2 linked regions of the Arabidopsis thaliana genome follow. The protein of the gene in region 1 interacts with the protein of each later gene in a biochemical or structural test. Each region holds a gene or a part of one and is shown on either strand. Other genes may lie near its edges.

What was found. Proteins that work in one complex are often made in the same cells at the same time.
Region 2: the proteins of RALF1 (region 1) and FER form a complex in vitro, tested with the Arabidopsis thaliana proteins (one study listed by BioGRID).

Annotation. Positions count from the first base shown.
Region 1 is NC_003070.9:652,358-656,421, forward strand, and holds RALF1 (rapid alkalinization factor 1), read right to left. Parts: upstream 2,101-4,064; 5' UTR 1,982-2,100; coding exon 1,619-1,981; 3' UTR 1,247-1,618; downstream 1-1,246. Other genes in the region: LPA1 (tetratricopeptide repeat (TPR)-containing protein), read right to left, coding at 3,392-3,466, 3,576-3,672, 3,777-3,877, 3,960-4,064. UniProt on the Arabidopsis thaliana protein: Cell signaling peptide that may regulate plant stress, growth, and development.
Region 2 is NC_003074.8:19,116,661-19,123,386, reverse strand, and holds FER (Malectin/receptor-like protein kinase family protein), read left to right. Parts: upstream 1-2,437; 5' UTR 2,438-2,607; intron 2,608-2,782; 5' UTR 2,783-2,822; coding exon 2,823-5,510; 3' UTR 5,511-5,803; downstream 5,804-6,726. Other genes in the region: AT3G51560 (Disease resistance protein (TIR-NBS-LRR class) family), read left to right, coding at 1-872, 959-1,579; AT3G51540 (mucin-5AC-like protein), read right to left, coding at 6,177-6,515, 6,650-6,726. UniProt on the Arabidopsis thaliana protein: Receptor-like protein kinase that mediates the female control of male gamete delivery during fertilization, including growth cessation of compatible pollen tubes ensuring a reproductive isolation barriers, by regulating MLO7 subcellular polarization upon pollen tube perception in the female gametophyte synergids.

The DNA.
Region 1 (4,064 bases):
ACAACTTGACATGCGTTTTATTGCATTTCAAGTAACATTCTTACAGCTATTTCAATACGTATTTTATCTAAACCATCACACAAGTGTGTCATATGTTTCATTGTATTTGTAATGTATTCAAATATATGGTGTTTTAGATGAATTTCAAACTTAAAACTAAGGTCAACTGTGGTGATAATTATGGGGTAACTAAATTACCAAACTCGTTTGCAGTTAGGAACGAACCGAATGTTCTAGTATTAAGCACGTGTATTGATCCCGCCAATTATATGAGCAGTAAGTCTACTGTTCAATAGACAGAAAAATTGTAAATAGGTAAAGGCCCATTAGTGTGGTGCGGCTTTAAGACCGGCCCATTTTAAGTCGGTTGGTTCAAATCCATCACTTATTGAAAGAGGGAAAAAGAGAAAGACGAGACATTTAATGGTGGAATGGAAAATGTATAAGAAAATATTTCAAAATTTTGTGGCCAATCATTTTTTGGGATAAGGATCAACCAAAGAAGAAGATGTTTTCTATTGTTTATAAAAAGAGAAACTCAATCCTGAATATTATCTTCTTCTTTATTTTCGGATATTTGGGATAGCTAGGGAGAAGATTAAAAAAAATTGTAACTCATCATGTTCTTTCTTTTCTAGCGTATGCAAGCAAACATGTTGCGAATTTTTGCCATGATTAATGAATACCTTTTAACAAACCAAAAAAAATCAAAAATCCATTATCATGGATCTTCTACCTATATTATTGTTATTTGTAGTACCTCTATTTTCTTTCAACGATGGAACGTTTTTAAGTTTTAACTATAAAATTTTGCAAATTACATGAAAATGATTTATAAAATTGATGTTGTTACGGATGGTTCAACTACTTGATTTAATTATTAAGATAGTGTTCTCCTGATTAGCAACTTGGCCAATTTAACCTAAAAGAAACCGTGTTAGAACCATGTTGTCAAGCTGATGGGCGACATGTTTTATTGAGACAACCCCTAATTGATTAGACAAGAACCAAAAATGTTAGTTTGTTATAATAATGTCTGCATGTTTCACGCTTTTTGTTACTAATTCAAGTATGTTTTGTTTTGTAGTGAATTTCCTTCTATGTTTCCAAGCCCATGTTTCAGTTTCTCAAACCCTTCGAAGAGAAAAAGTGGTATCATGGATAAAACCAATTTCTTACGATCCGGTTTGGTTCAAATCGACCAATATATATAAAATATTAATTTTCAAAACAAACTAATTCCCGTAAACGCGCCGAGAGTTGGTAAGGGTTAGGTTGAGAGTTGGTCACTTGTGTGTTGCAACTTGAGACCGGTTATTCAATCCGACTGTGAAAGCGGCTGAGGTACAAACCAAACCCGGTTTGATCAAACGTAGGTAATAACTCTTTGAATACTCGTCTCTTTGTAATAATTAAAAACCAAACAACTTCATGGATCATTAAGACCATGATTATTCACATAAAATATTACAAATCAACCCAATTTGATCAAAACATAGGTCTTTACTATTGTGCAGAGACATGATGAATATTTAAAGATTTAATTAAAATGAAAACGCTTGATGGATCAAAGAAAACATAAGTCAAGATCAAGAAGATAGCTTTCTTGTTTGTAGGTCTAACTCCTGCAACGAGCAATTTTGCTGCAACCACGACTATAAGGATTAGCCTGAGCTCCGTTCTGACAATTGTAATAAGACGCACCTCTTCTTGAACAAGGCACACTGTTCCGTTTCAAAGACTGATAGCTTATGTATTTTGTGGTCGCCAATATTCTTCTATTGATCTCTGAGTCCATTTCTTCTTCCTCCGCCCCGATACACTCTGCTATTGAACCGTGGCAGCCTGAACCATTGTCTCCAGTCGTAGCCCATGCTACACCACCGAGGTCGTTGGCGAAGCCGGCTTGGACCGGAGGTGAAGAGATGATGAAGACGACGAGAATCGTAAGAGTTAAGAACAGAGTAAAGGACTTGTCCATTTTCTTGCCTTTCTTTGGGTTCTTTTGTTTGGTTATTATTGCTTAAGTTAATGTTTATATATACATGGTGAGTGCGTGGACTCGATTTTTTAATTTTGTAGTTGTTGAAGATTTTTTTTTCTCTTTTTTTGTTTTGTTTTTCAAATTCTATTTTGTGTTTTTATTAAAAGTTTCAGTATTTATTTAGAAGAATATGAGACATAGCATGACAATAACTTGTTGATTCGAATACTAGTAACATTTTCTCTTTGTTATATTAAAATTTTGAAAATTTAACGAGCTTCTGTTTAGAATTTTTGATTTCTGTAGTTACAATAGAATTTTTTGAACTTACATTATAGTTTCGAAATTTTACTTGTGTTATTTCGGTATTAACAGAAATGCCACTTGACAGTGAAATGAAAAAAAATGATTATGCAAATTAGTTAATTATTATTAATTGGAGAATTGTTGGGAGTGGTTGAATATTTGTTAGAGCCGACAGAAATTGAACCAAAACGATTTGGAATATTGGAGGGGTCAAGCCTTTTCTCATTATCCATTTGAATTTTTAAAATCAACACTATCATGTTTTATGATCTGAAAGCACTGAATCTAGATGACATTATGAATTTATAATTGACTTGTTCCTTAATCTAGGATATAGTAAGTTTTTAATCACTTTTCTGTAAGGTATTTTAAAAGTCATTTTATGGATTTCGATATCTGAATTTTGGTACTTTCATTTATTAGTAAACAATGATCGTTGGCATCGACCGAGATCAATATTAGTCATTGCAAATTACGTTTGGTACCAACTTTTAAACTACTGAATAACAAATACTCAAAAATATATTATCATAGTTCAATTTTTTAATTAAATACATATTCTGAAACAACGAAAAGCTATGCTTCATCTTCTCTTCCAACGACCATGAAAAATTGAAAAGAGTTGGGCCATCGTTATCCCAATAAAACAAAGAAAATAAAACCTAATCCTTCCTTAACTACAATAATCGAAAATCATGTTTTAAATAATAGATACTTCTAAAAAGCGAACCCTAATTTTCTTAGTCTCACCGAATCAAAACGCGTTTCTCACTCTCACCGGCCTTCGTATTGTTTAGAACCACGGATGAGTCGTCTCATAAAAACATGACGACATTAATAGAGTACATAGCAAACCAATCTAAGTAAATCGAGATCTTGGATATCATAAAAAGATAATTGGTATGTAAGACACATAAAAATTAATAGAAATATTTTCTTTTGACAATGCAAAAACTGTGTTCACATACACAAATATCAATTTCATGGACTTCTGAACACAAACAAACAATACAGACCTTTTCTTCTCCCATGAGTTCTCTCTACTCAATTCTAAGGTTTTACGAAGATACAATATGTAAGAATTAAGAAAGCTTCACAGTTTCATCTTTCTAACTTGCTGAGAACGTCATCCATTGGCGGTAACTCCTTCGATATCTCAGCCCAATCCGGCATCCCCTGAAAAAACAGAGTTTTTATTACTTACCACAAAACCTCCTCAAAAACCAATAAGTAGATATCAAACACGAGAAAGCAAGAGAGGAAAAGGTTTCTAGATGAAACTTACTCTACCCGATCTGCGGACTCGACCATCTAACCGCAGTATGATGTACACATCATCGCCCGGGTTAACTCCTTCAGATATCTGTTGATCTCTTATCCACCTGAAACAAACAAAACCAGAGACATCTTTAAGACTCAACAACAAAGTTGCCATCTTTCTTCTATCAAACTTTGATCAGCAACAAATGGCAATGAAAGTTTCGACCTTTCCCATTCACCAGGCGAAACAGTCTCGGCCTTGAACCTGATTTCACCTTTCAGCTTCGATTGGGCTACAACCGATTGAGCCCGTGTATCAAAATCTTCCTATCAAGTTAAGAGAACATCACTGTTTTGCAAAATGAGAATATTTTGTTTGTTTTTTTCAAAGACAGAATCTTTTCGTTACCCCAATTGAAGGAAGAGATGTAGCTGCCTTTGAAGAAGCTCCAAAACCTTTTTTCTCGATTTCCGGTGTTTTGCGTTCACCCCATACCACAGGAACTAAGAGAAC
Region 2 (6,726 bases), on another chromosome or scaffold:
CTGAACTGGTTGTATTAGATTTGGAGAACTGCAAACGCCTTCACAAGTTACCAATGGGAATAGGTAACTTGAGTTCTCTTGCGGTGTTAAATCTCTCTGGATGCTCAGAACTTGAGGATATTCAAGGTATCCCAAGAAACTTGGAAGAGTTATATCTTGCTGGCACCGCTATACAGGAAGTGACATCGTTAATCAAGCATCTCTCAGAACTTGTAGTTTTAGATTTACAGAATTGCAAAAGGCTTCAACATCTTCCAATGGAGATTAGTAACTTAAAATCTCTTGTCACACTTAAGCTAACGGATCCATCTGGGATGTCCATAAGAGAAGTATCAACATCAATTATCCAGAATGGTATATCAGAAATTGGCATCAGTAATTTGAATTATCTTCTCTTGACTTTCAATGAGAATGCAGAGCAGCGTAGAGAATATTTGCCTCGACCAAGGCTGCCATCTTCAAGTTTACATGGCTTGGTCCCAAGATTTTATGCCCTAGTATCTTTATCCCTCTTCAATGCATCCTTGATGCATATACCGGAAGAGATTTGTTCCTTGCCTTCAGTAGTGCTGTTGGATCTTGGTCGGAATGGTTTCAGCAAAATCCCTGAAAGCATAAAGCAGTTATCTAAACTACATAGCCTTAGATTAAGACATTGTAGAAACCTCATATTGCTTCCGGCGCTTCCCCAAAGCCTGAAACTGTTGAACGTGCATGGTTGTGTGTCTCTAGAGTCAGTTTCTTGGGGATTTGAGCAGTTTCCTAGTCATTACACCTTCAGCGATTGCTTCAATAAGTCTCCAAAAGTGGCTAGAAAACGAGTTGTAAAAGGCCTGGCTAAAGTAGCAAGCATTGGCAACGAACATCAGCAGGTAACTCTCTCGTTCTCATGTCCCTTCTTTCTCACTCATACATACTTTAGCGTATATGTAATTTTCCTTTTTCTTGTTGGGACCAGGAACTCATCAAAGCACTTGCATTCAGCATTTGCGGGCCTGCAGGAGCAGATCAGGCAACCTCTTATAATTTGCGGGCAGGTTCATTTGCAACGATAGAGATAACTCCTTCCCTGCGAAAGACACTCTTGGGGTTTGCTATCTTCGTTGTAGTATCGTTTTCGGATGATAGTCACAACAACGCTGGGCTTGGCGTTAGGTGCGTAAGCAGATGGAAGACAAAGAAAAGGGTGGTCACTGGTAAAGCAGAGAAAGTGTTTAGGTGTTGGGCTCCGAGAGAAGCTCCTGAGGTTCAAAGGGATCACATGTTTGTGTTTTATGAGGATGCCGAAATGCATCGAGGTGGTGGTGAGGGAAACAAACCAAATATAATGGCTGATCACGTTGAATTTGAATTCCAAGCAGTAAATGGAAGAAACAAGGTCTTAGGCGGTAATTGCATGGTGACAGAATGTGATGTTTGTGTTATAACAGCTGCAACTGGTGCGGCGAGTCTGAGTGTAACAAATGCAAGTAAGGATATGAGTTTAAGTAAGAATCATTCTCCGAAGCTTTCAAGTGTGATTGGTAAGCTTCGATTTAAGCGAGTTGGTAGGTTTGGTGGTTGTGTTTGCCTAGAGTGAAGAAAAGTTAAGAGTGGGAACTGGGAAGAGTGTATGTATGTGACTCGTCTCATGCGTGCCCAAATGCGAAGTAGCAGAAACATGTATGTTTGAAATGTAATTTTTATTATTTAAAATTGGCATAAACAAAAAAAAATGTGTTGTCTGAAAGAGAATTAATGATATGTTAATGTAAATATTTAGTGCATGTTTGATGTAATGGTTTAAAGTTTTATTTTATTTTGAAAGACTGAGAAAACAAGGATCACAAACTCTGTTTTGAATCAAGAAGGTGTAGACCAAAAAAATTGCACACGTTCGGCCTTAACCACGGTTTATTTGTATTCAAGGTTACTTGGATTTGACATCGGAGATCAAGGTTACTCCTTACCTTAGACATGATCGATCAAAAGGAGGCTACGCCGATTGTCATAAACATATATCATGTGCACGTTAGATAAGGCCCACTTATAACTGGGCCATAGGAGATAAACTGAAATCAGAGTAAAAAGCCCATGATTACGTAAACTATCCTAACTAACTAACGAGTTATTATCAAAGCAGGCCCCATTCTTTCCCTTTATAGTATAATATAGAGTACCAGCTCAGCCACGAGCAGTCACCACCGCACACAAAAATACGCGTTTCATAAAATTCTCTTGTCTTTTCTTTAGTTTAATGGATTTACTCTCTCACATTTTATGAACTGTCATCCAAACCATACCAATCAACATTATCCTTCGAATGGTCAAGACATATATAATTCCAGCTGTTGATACTCAAAGGTCATTATCGTCACTTCACCCACCTTCAAGCCGGCTTCAATTAATTAAACCCGATAACTATATCTTAATTTAATCTTATTGAAATTAAAATAACGTTAACGCGTAGAGGGAAGCAACAATGCTTGTCCGTTTTGTCGTCGTCTTGACTATACTTACCTCTCCACTCATTAATTGATTTTCTCTCTCTCTCCCCCAAAATATCTCTGTCTTCTCCAAAAACTCTCTCCGATTTCATCGCTTAGGGTTTCTTCCCCGATTCTTCAGGTATGTAATCATCATCATCATCTTCCTCACTTCACTCTCCCTTACTACTGTATTCAAACTTCAATTTCATCTGTTTCTTAAGCTCAATTTTCGTAACCAAACGAACATGTACCTCTAGCACTTTCCATTTTTAGATCTGTGAAGTTTATAGTTTCGATTTTCTTTCGTTTGATAGATCTGAGAAGAAGATCTTCCCGGAGAAGTGCTCTTGATCGATGAAGATCACAGAGGGACGATTCCGTCTCTCTCTTCTTCTTCTTCTTCTTCTCATATCTGCAGCAACTTTAATCTCAGCTGCTGATTACTCTCCAACAGAGAAAATCCTATTGAATTGCGGTGGTGGTGCTTCTAATCTAACCGACACAGATAACCGTATATGGATCTCCGATGTCAAATCAAAATTCTTATCATCTTCCTCTGAAGACTCTAAAACATCACCAGCGTTAACACAAGATCCTTCCGTTCCCGAAGTTCCTTACATGACGGCGAGAGTTTTCCGATCTCCTTTCACTTACACTTTCCCTGTAGCATCAGGTCGTAAATTCGTGCGTCTCTACTTCTACCCAAACTCGTACGACGGTCTCAACGCTACCAACTCGTTATTCTCCGTCTCCTTTGGTCCTTACACTCTTCTCAAGAATTTCAGTGCTTCTCAGACGGCGGAGGCGTTGACTTACGCTTTCATCATCAAGGAGTTTGTTGTCAACGTTGAAGGTGGAACGTTGAACATGACGTTTACACCGGAATCAGCTCCGTCTAATGCGTATGCGTTTGTTAATGGGATTGAGGTTACTTCAATGCCTGATATGTATAGTAGTACTGATGGGACTTTGACTATGGTTGGATCATCTGGCTCTGTTACTATTGATAACAGTACTGCTCTTGAGAATGTGTATAGGCTCAATGTTGGAGGGAATGATATCTCGCCTTCCGCGGATACGGGTTTGTATAGGTCGTGGTATGATGATCAGCCTTATATATTTGGTGCAGGACTTGGTATTCCAGAGACTGCTGATCCCAACATGACGATTAAGTATCCTACGGGGACTCCTACTTATGTTGCTCCTGTGGATGTTTATTCAACCGCGAGGTCTATGGGTCCAACAGCTCAGATCAATCTCAACTACAATCTTACTTGGATTTTCAGCATTGACTCTGGTTTCACTTACCTTGTTAGACTTCATTTCTGTGAGGTTTCTTCGAATATCACTAAGATCAACCAACGGGTGTTTACAATCTACCTCAACAATCAAACTGCTGAGCCTGAAGCTGATGTGATTGCTTGGACTAGTTCAAACGGGGTTCCGTTTCACAAGGATTACGTGGTGAATCCTCCAGAGGGAAATGGACAGCAAGATTTGTGGCTTGCTCTTCATCCTAACCCAGTTAACAAGCCGGAGTATTATGATTCTCTTCTTAATGGAGTGGAGATATTCAAGATGAATACTTCTGATGGTAATCTGGCTGGTACCAATCCTATACCTGGTCCACAGGTGACTGCTGATCCATCTAAAGTCCTACGCCCGACTACTAGGAAATCGAAAAGCAATACGGCTATTATTGCAGGCGCAGCCAGTGGTGCAGTTGTTCTGGCCCTTATCATTGGGTTTTGTGTGTTTGGTGCTTACCGCAGACGTAAGCGTGGTGATTACCAGCCTGCTAGTGATGCAACATCAGGGTGGCTTCCACTATCTCTGTATGGAAACTCACATTCTGCTGGCTCGGCGAAGACAAACACAACAGGAAGTTATGCCTCGTCCCTTCCGTCAAATCTTTGCCGTCACTTCTCGTTTGCTGAGATCAAAGCTGCCACTAAAAACTTTGATGAGTCCCGGGTGCTTGGTGTTGGTGGTTTCGGCAAGGTTTACAGAGGAGAGATTGATGGCGGAACTACAAAGGTAGCCATCAAGAGAGGCAACCCAATGTCCGAGCAAGGTGTACATGAGTTCCAGACTGAGATTGAAATGCTTTCAAAGCTTAGACATCGTCATCTTGTGTCCTTGATTGGATACTGTGAAGAGAACTGCGAAATGATCTTAGTCTATGATTACATGGCTCATGGTACAATGAGGGAGCATCTCTACAAAACCCAGAATCCTTCTCTTCCATGGAAGCAACGTCTTGAGATATGCATTGGAGCAGCCCGAGGTTTACACTATCTACACACTGGTGCAAAACACACAATCATCCATAGAGATGTGAAGACAACAAACATTCTATTGGATGAGAAATGGGTGGCCAAGGTCTCTGATTTTGGTCTATCGAAGACTGGTCCTACACTAGACCACACACACGTAAGCACAGTTGTGAAAGGAAGTTTCGGTTATCTTGACCCAGAGTATTTCAGACGGCAGCAACTGACTGAGAAATCCGATGTCTACTCCTTTGGCGTTGTTCTATTCGAAGCTCTATGCGCTCGTCCAGCCTTGAACCCAACACTTGCAAAGGAACAAGTGAGCTTAGCTGAGTGGGCACCATACTGCTACAAGAAAGGCATGCTAGATCAAATCGTTGATCCCTACCTCAAGGGCAAGATCACACCAGAATGCTTCAAAAAGTTTGCTGAAACCGCGATGAAGTGTGTTCTAGACCAGGGCATTGAGAGACCATCAATGGGAGATGTTCTGTGGAACTTAGAATTTGCGTTGCAGCTCCAGGAAAGCGCAGAAGAGAACGGAAAAGGAGTATGCGGTGACATGGACATGGATGAGATTAAGTACGATGATGGAAACTGTAAAGGAAAGAACGACAAGAGTTCTGATGTGTATGAAGGGAATGTGACGGACTCGAGGAGCAGTGGAATAGATATGAGCATCGGTGGTAGGAGTTTGGCCAGCGAAGATTCAGATGGACTCACTCCAAGTGCTGTGTTTTCTCAGATCATGAATCCAAAGGGACGTTAGAGAAGTCTTATAACACGGTACAACACTACTACCTTTCTAAACCGGCTCCATCCAAAGGAGACCGGTTCGTTTCTCTTTTTTATATTTTTTTTCCTCTTAACTATTTATTATTATTCTCTTTGCTGTTATTTATTTAGAATTTTGGATTTGTGTATTTGATGCCACGATGGAGAGTGTAAAAAATAATGTATTTTTTTTTCTTCTTTCTACAAAAACATTAAACATGAATCGCGTCAATGTACTATTTGGTTTGTTATCTATAACGTTTTTGGTAATTGTTGCATCTTTACTCTATTACACGTCGTACTCTTATGAACAAACTAGTACCCATTTATTACAAAGTCGTACTCTTATGAACATAAACGGAAGTACATCAATCACTTCTCTGTTTTACTATATAGACGCATTTTAACGGAATCCTACCAATAGTGTCTTTTCTTGCAAATATTTTGATTTAAACAAGAAGGGTCAAAGTTGTATATTTCTGCTGATCAATACAAACAAACACTTTGAAAGAAAAAAACAACGAGTAGAAGAACTATGTGTAATGTTTTTCTCTTGATTGCATAAGAATTTAAAAAGAGTGAAACAGGATTATTTTTCCAAGCAGCTCTCTTGTTTTTAACTACAACAAACAGGAAAGAAAACTCAAAAGGAGTCAGAGTCTCAGAGAGGAGAGAATAGATCAGGAGGAGAGTCAAAAGCATTGTCGAAGATGAGAGATTGAGGAGATTCATCATCAATGTTAAGTAGCCAGTTTGTATCCTTGACATCTTTAACATTCAAGAGTGCGTCGTAACGAGCACTATCGTTCTTGTTCTCTGTGTTGTTCCCTTCTTTCGTTAAGCTTCTTCCATCTTCCTCTTCATGGTTGCTGCTGCTGCAGCTGCCTTCACTACTACCACACGGTTTTCTTAGACCCGAAGAAGAAGATCTGATGCTGTGTGGATACAACATTGGGCTTGAAAACGTATGTGTACTAACTTTACCATTTCGTGCCAAGTCCTGCATTTGAAGTGACACTATTATCGTCAAGCAAAACCTCATAAAAAACGTTACTATACTATTGACCACGATAAACGTTATAAATGACAAAAATATTTAGCTATAATCAAATAATGACAAGAGAACGTTATTACCAAGTGATTGATAGCCATTTGAACAGAAGCTCTTGACAACTTCCTTCCTGGCCTAGTTGAATCGGCAACAGTGGCAG